2 linked regions of the Astyanax mexicanus genome follow. The protein of the gene in region 1 interacts with the protein of each later gene in a pairwise test. Links are inferred from orthologs where the notes say so. Each region holds a gene or a part of one and is shown on either strand. Other genes may lie near its edges. The genes, in order: naif1 and sox14.

What was found.
Region 2: the proteins of naif1 (region 1) and sox14 interact in binary tests that used the Homo sapiens proteins (3 or more experiments, as listed by UniProt). The two-hybrid records come from large-scale screens. The link is inferred for Astyanax mexicanus from reciprocal best matches to the Homo sapiens genes NAIF1 and SOX14.

Annotation. Positions count from the first base shown.
Region 1 is NC_064419.1:330,865-334,791, forward strand, and holds the start of naif1 (nuclear apoptosis-inducing factor 1), read left to right. Parts: upstream 1-1,553; 5' UTR 1,554-1,683; coding exon 1,684-2,134; intron 2,135-3,007; coding exon 3,008-3,055; intron 3,056-3,202; coding exon 3,203-3,672; 3' UTR 3,673-3,927. UniProt on the Homo sapiens protein: Induces apoptosis.
Region 2 is NC_064412.1:49,528,936-49,532,862, forward strand, and holds sox14 (transcription factor Sox-14), read left to right. Parts: upstream 1-1,074; 5' UTR 1,075-1,693; coding exon 1,694-2,488; 3' UTR 2,489-3,725; downstream 3,726-3,927. UniProt on the Homo sapiens protein: Acts as a negative regulator of transcription.

The sequences.
Region 1 (3,927 bases):
TTAACAGGTAGTCCTGCCATCTAGTAAAGGCCCAGTGATATAAAAAGACTGAACAGGCAAGACCCACATAACTCAATCCACCAGCAAAGGGCAATCTGTGCTATTCATTCAACCCTGCTGGAGAATAACAGGTGCATTAGTGCATCAGTGCATGGCAGCAAACAAAATACACCCTGGTAGAGTTCCAACATCGTGGCATTCAGGAGTAAAGGTTGTTTTATAGATGACAGTTTAAAGAGGCTGTGCCAACTGTTAAACGATGGCACTGGTTACCTTTGTCTGGACTTTTCCTGAAATCAACAAGTGCTCAAGAACACCAGGGTGAAAATGCGGGAAAATATAATAAATACAAAACTATATATACTATAGTTTTCGCTTTAACAGCGTCAAGTCTTCTGAAAAAGTTGGGACAATAAACAATTAACATTTGTCATTCATTTTTTTGTTATTTAAATGTGGTTCCAAGCTATGGCAATTGAATTGTAATATATATATCCATTATATATAAGTCCAAAAAGTATACAGTTATACAAGTATGCCCATGTTTTGGGAGTTTGACAAGAATGTAACACCTAAAATAATTCTATTACATTTGTTGTTCTATGGCGCCACCATGTGGACGTTGTTTTTAAACTGCACTGTATGAAAAAAATGATAAACTGGAGGATTTTTAAAGTGTATTATTTCAATGTTAAAATATCCACATAAGGCCCCTTTATAGTGACAAAATAAATGATTATGCACAATGCAATTTTTGTTTTTCTTTTTATGGAAATATATGTATTGATATTTTTAAAAGAACACAAAATATGTCGTTCCAAATTATTATACAGAATACAGGTTTTTAAAACATTTATTGGGTCATAAAAACAATGTTAATAATGAACAAAAATGTAGCCAAATCTATATTCTCCCAGCTGGCATTTTAACGTTGAATCAACATTGATATTAATATCGAATCAACGTTGGATTTAAAAAGTGAATGACAGGGGTTCTAAACTGCTCTCAGCCCGGGACCCTCATTTTCTTATAGTCATTAAGTCCCAACCCACTTTTATAGAATACAAACAAAATTATTTATATAAAAACACATTATAACATACGTAGGCTAAGTGAATTTGTATTTAATGTATACAATTTACTACAATAAAATAAAATATAAAAAGCCACAAAATATTAAATATTTAAAAAATTAGATATTTCACTTCACTGTATTCAGAGAACATTAGTAGGAAAAATATATTTTTTTCTCTTTTTTCCCCCCAATATAAAAGATGAGTACAAAATCAGATGATCATTAATTATTGTTTTTAATTTTTGGATCCAGACCCTCTATCAGTACTGTTGTGTTATTATTATAATTATTGTGTTATTATGGTTATTGTGTTATTATGGTGCTTCGTCGCCTTGCGTAGTAAACCGCCGGAGTGTGTTAAGAGTGACGGGTTGTTCAGCCAATAGGGAGGGATCTCGTCACGCTCGCCAAACGCCACAGCCAATAACAAACCACGTTTCTAAAGTGGGCGGGCTTTCGGCCATTACGGACGCAAGCGTTGTTGTTGGAAGAAGAAGTCGATTCAGGAAGCCATTACGCTGCGCAGCTCCGCCGCGGAAAACACGTACTGTTTTTGCGTACGGTACGCACTTTTTTTACTTTCCTTAAGTCCTAATTAAAGATTATTAATGGCCTCTCAGGCGAAGAAGCGGAAGATGAACTTCTCGGAGCGCGAGGTGGAGATTATAGTGGAGGAGATGGAGAAGCAGAAGCACGTGCTGGTTAATCACTTTAACGCCGGCGTTTCTCACATCGCGAAAAACGGAGCCTGGCTCGAGATCCTGAAGCGCGTGAACGCCGTGACCAACTGCCAGCGCGAGCTCGCGGAGGTGAAGAAGAAGTGGTCGGATCTGAAGACGGAGGTCCGGCGGAAAGTGGCGCAGGCGCGCGCGGCCATGGAGGGCACGGAGGACTGCGGCACGGTGCCCGTGATCCTCACCGCCATGCAGCAGCGGATCTGTAACCTGCTCGGGGAGGCGACGATCATCAGCCTGCCCGCCGGAGAACCGGGAGACCCGCCGGCCGAGATGACCGTGCCCGTTCCCATCAGTTCCGCCGCCGCCGTCACTCTGACGCAAAGTAAGATAACAGCGTTACCGCGCGCGATTTAACCGAGACTGAAAAAAAAAAAACACAGAGCGTGACGTTATAACCCTGACATAGCTATATAACTATATATATGTGTATATATATATATATACTACTGCATCTAAAAAAATTATAATATAAAAATTATTTAATTAAAAAAAAGTTAACGTTACTTTATTTCAGTAATTCAGATCAAAATTCTAAATATGAAACTCATATATTATATAGATGTATTGTACATAATAGTCATCTATTTTAAGCGTTTATTTCTTTTATTGTTGATGATTATAATTATTATGGATTATAGCCAATAAAAAAAAAACCAAAACAGTGTTTCAGAAAGGAATTAGAATATTATAATATATATATTATGTATATTATAAGACCAATTAGTACTTTTTTCCAGTGTGGGCAGTGTGCCAAGTCCTGCTGGAAAATGAAATCCGCATCTCCATAAAAAAATTATTTATATATAATAAACGTTAGCAGAGAGAAGCATGAAGTGCTGTAAGCCATGTCATCTGCTGGTGTTGATCCACTGTGTTTTATTATCAAATCTTACAGCTTCCCTCTGCTGACAACAACTTCTTTTATGGAGATGAGGATTTCATTTTCCAGCAGGACTTGGCACACTGCACACACTGCCCACACTGGAAAAAAAAGTACCTGTAACTGGTCTTATAATATAATTATAGTATTCAAATTTTCTGAAACACTGATTTTTGTGTTTTTATTAATATTATTAATAATAATGATCTAAACAATAATAAAAAGAACAGAATTAGTAGTCATATAGCGTACTGGACTATATATAAAAACAATATCAATAGCATTAGTGTAGAGATGTTTTCTCTGTACCAACAGGTATCCAACCAGCAGCCGGAACAGCTTGTGAAATTAAAACATTAGACGGTAAGTCGTCTTTGTCATTTTTGCCAAATACTGCAAAACTGCAAATAAACAGGTTGGACTCTGGTTATAAAAACTGTTTAGATTAACTGGTTATCTTATTTTGTGTTTGTTGTTTGTGTGTTTCTGTGTTTCTGTGTTGGGGTTCAGCAGCTGAGACGACGTATCACACGCTGGAGGAGGGAATGGTGGAGTACTGCACCACGGAAACCCCCGTCACGGTCACCACAGAAGCCCCGGTGGAGATGCTGGCGGCTCAGGCAGATAACTCCGTAAAACCACAGGAGCTGAAGAGCCGCATCGCCCTGAACTCGGCCAAACTGCTGCAGGAGCAGCGCATCACCAACCTGCACGTCCGAGAGATCGCCCAGCACCTGGAGAACCAGAACGACCTGCTGCAGATGATCCGCCGCTCGCAGGAGGCGCAGGCCTGCGCCCAGGAGAGACAGGCCCAGGCGCTGGAGGGCACGCAGGCGGCGCTGCTGGCGCTGATTCAGATGTTCAGACCGGCACTGAAGGACCTGAGGAAGTTCCTGCAGAGCGCCAACAGTGCGGGAGCCGGAGTCGAGGCCGGAGAGGGAGGGGGGAACGTGACGCAGCAGCCGGATGACGGACAGTAGACTGGACTGAGTTCTCTGATGTAAATGAATGAATGAATTAATGGAGTGTGTTTGTGTTTGTTGGAGAATGCTTGAACCTGTAAGTTATTTTGTTCCTGAGAGAATGTGAGAGAGTGTGTGTGTAAATGTGTGTGAGAGTGTGTGAGAGTGTGTGTGAAAGTGTGTGTTAAGTTATGCAGGTAAATAGTGCCTCATCAGTCGAGTGCTCGTCTGTGTGTGGAGACTGAAGACTGTACGTGACTGCTGAAACCTGTA
Region 2 (3,927 bases), on another chromosome or scaffold:
GAAATGTTAAATTTATATATGACTCGGAAACCGACTGTTCTGAAAACCTCAAATCTCAAATAATACGAATCCAGACCTAAAATCACAACGCATAAGCAAACTCATTTATAAACCCAACACTAAGACCAACACCAATTTTAAACCCAACCCTAAATCCCAACCCAGCCCTTTCCGTGTCTCACGGGAGATCTAGACTATCATTCCGCTTTAATAAATATTAATAAATATTGTCCCGAGGGCTCTTTCTCAGACAGCGACCCCAGGGACTCTTCACTTCATTGCCTTATATATATGTTTGAAGACCGTTCTAATGGGGTTACAATTACATGTGATTTTAAAGAAATTTTAACACATCCGGCTGTAAATTCGTGGAGTAAATGCACAAGCGACATTTCATAGAAGTGCTGAAAATATGTGTAAAGACGTTAATAAAATAGGAATACAATAATAAAAAACAGTACTTTGAAATTATCAGCTGTCTCGATTTTTTTTAAACGGTACCAGTGCCTTTGTAAAAAAACGTGCAAATTATAAATTAAGAATCAATTATATATTTTTTTACTATTGTAAAAAAGTATAATGGTATAATACCATCTGGCAATAATACGAAAAATGCTTAAAACATATACATATACAAAAATTGGATGTATTTTTTCAGTATATAAATTAATATATATATATATATATATATATATTTTTTTTTTTTGTTTGTTTGTTTGTTTTTTTATTGCAACCAATTAATTAATCAATTAATATTAACACACATGCCGAAATTAAATCATCTGTCTAACAAATTTATTAACATCTGTTATTTTTTTAGATTTGTTGTTGTTGTTTTTATTTATTCATGCTGGGGAAATGTTTCAGGTGTGTGTCTGGGTGTGTATGCGCGTGAGGGCGCGGGCGGATCCCTCCCCTATCTTTATTTGCCTTGGTAATATCCCTATACATTTTTTTCTTTTCTTTTTTTATTTTTTTTTCCGAAGGTATTCTGCTTCCTGTTCTCTCCTTTGATTGGTCGCTTAAGTCTCCTGGCCCCGCCCCCTCCCCAACACCGTGCTCACACACCAAAGCGGCTTCGGCGCGTTTGAAGCTCCGCCGCGTTCTGGCGCTCATTCACAGCCAGGTGCTTCAGCGAGAGCAGGAAAAACACACACACTGAGATACACACACTCGCGCGCGCACACACACACATACTCACTCGTACACACACACGCTCGCGCGCGCGTTTAGAGTGGGGAGCTGTTTCACTTTTTCGGAGCTTCTTTTGCTGCTGTTGCCTCACCTGAGTGGATTTTTGGACTCTCTCTCCTTCTTTCTCTCTCTCTCTTTCTGTCACTCTCCCTCACTCTCTCTCTCTATTTTTCTCTCTTTCTATTTCTCCCTCTGTCTGAAGCTTAAGTGCAGAAGAAGAGGACGAGAACATAACTTTAAGCAACTTTTTTTTCTGAAAGTATTTCTCTGAAAGAACATTTCGGATGTTTGGTTCGGCACTCATGCTCTTTTTCTGAGCGCGTGAAGTGGCATGATCGCCGTCTTCATCTTCTGCCAACACGGCTGAACATTCACACACGCGCGCGTTGTTATATTCACCGTAATTATTACTAATTATTATTTGCACCGTTATTTGGGCGGGAGCCCGCGCTCCCCTGCCGCCACCTCATCCCCTGCCGCCGCCGACGCAGACATCACCATGTCCAAGCCGGTCGATCACATCAAGAGACCCATGAACGCGTTCATGGTGTGGTCGCGTGGGCAAAGAAGGAAGATGGCTCAGGAGAATCCGAAGATGCACAACTCTGAGATCAGCAAGCGGCTGGGCGCCGAGTGGAAGCTGCTCACGGAGTCCGAGAAACGGCCCTACATCGACGAGGCCAAGCGGCTCCGCGCGCAGCACATGAAGGAGCACCCGGACTACAAGTACAGGCCGAGGCGCAAGCCCAAAAACCTCCTGAAGAAGGAGCGCTACGTCTTCCCTCTGCCTTACCTGGCGGACGCCGAACACCTGAAGGCGGCACTTCCGGTACCCACCAGTGTCGCCGATCACGCTCTGGAGAAGGCGGCAGCGGCGCGAGCCTTCCTGCCCCCCTCAGCCGTCACATCGCCCTACTCACTCCTCGACCCCGGCCAGTTCGGCGCGAGCAGCATGAGCAAGCTGGCCGGCGACATGACCCCGTACGCCTTGAGCTCGCTCAGTTCCCTGCCCTACGCGTCCTCGCTCGGCTACCACCAGAGCACCGGCGCGTTCGCCAGCCACCAGGCGGCCCAGCAGACTCAGCAGCAGACGCAGCAGTCGCAGCACGCGGCAGGACCGCACGCCGCCACGCACACGCACCCGTCCCCGACCAACCCGGGCTACGTGGTGCCCTGCAATTGCGCGTGGTCCGCGGGAGGAGCGCTCCAGCCGCCGGTCGCCTACATCCTGTTTCCCGGTATGGGCAAGAGTGGGCTTGACCCCTACCCCTCTGCGCACGCCACGGCCATGTAGAGAAAACGGGTGGTAATATACGAGGTCATAAACATATAGCCTATTTATAAAAGAAGAGGAAACTGACAGTTTGTTCTTGACTAGAAGATGGGTATGCTGACAATTGTTAAAAAAAAAACAGTGGGAGAAATGACATTTTTATCCGTTAAAAAATTAAAGGAAGTTTCTTCTACAAAGCAAAGGGAAAAATTGCAACAACTGGAGGAGGAAAAAAAGACTTTTTTTCGTTTCTTCTCGAAAGGAGGAAAAACAACAATTTCTTCCAAAAACGAAAATGAAAACAATAAAAAGATTAAACGGACACTTTTCCGCCTCCCCAGAAACTTGAATGCAGTGGCATGTACATAAAACTGCTCCATTATTAAAATAAAAATAATAAATAATTAACAGAGACAGAAGCGAACTCAAAAACATTGACGGAGGTCTGATCGGACTGGAGAAAAATCTTGGAGTTCAGATTTTTTTTTGGTGTGTATATATATTATTTTTCGTTTTTTATTATCGTTTCCTCCAGGACGCTCCGGGACCTTCTGCATGGAGTTGAGAGAGCTGAGAGCAGGTGACTGTAAGAACTTTGTAAATGTTATTAACCTTTATTAACGGCTACCGAACAACAACGAGAGAAAAAAGAAAAACGCATAAAAAGGAGGCCTTTAGCTTTATTTATTATGTACATTTTGATGCTATTATAATAAGGATATTTTTGGTTTGTTTTTTCGACTATGATTAATATTATTGCTGTTATTTAAAAAAGGCGAATTTGGGTTTGCACAAGTAATGTTTAGCCTTCATGTCTCTCCATGTTTCTTCTTTAGATCTCTTCTGAACGATGTACTGATATTTTCTGAAATTTGGATCTAAATTAGGACATTTCTTTGAGTTTTAATGAAGATACGGGTTTATAGGCACACACGTGAGATTAGACAGGCTGTTGAAACTTCAAGTTGAAAAAAAATATTATTTCAGTATTTTTGTTTTTTGTTTTTATTTGATCTTGTGGTTCAGTGCTTGTCCCACGTTCATTTCATTTGAGAAAGAAGTGAAAGTCTGAAGCGAAGCAGTTAATGTCGTGCTCATTATTATTATGATTATTATTATTACAATGATGATTTTTTAAATCTTAATCTGATGTAATGTTATGGAAAAGGAAACTGTATCAGAAGGGGGATACCTCGATTCTTTGTTCATTTGCAGAGCAAAGACGTTTTGAATAAAGACAATCTGTCTTCAAAAATAATTTAATATCGTTTGGTATGTTGAACTTTTACGGGAGGTTAATATTTTGGTGACAAATTCATTCAAGAGCGAGTTTGGATACGTGTAAGGTTATAAATCGGCAAATTGTGCTAATACAACATAGTTCAATATACTCAAAGTAACTTATGTTTTAATATAAAAATGTTTTAAATAAAATTACGTCATCCAATTATTTCTTAAAA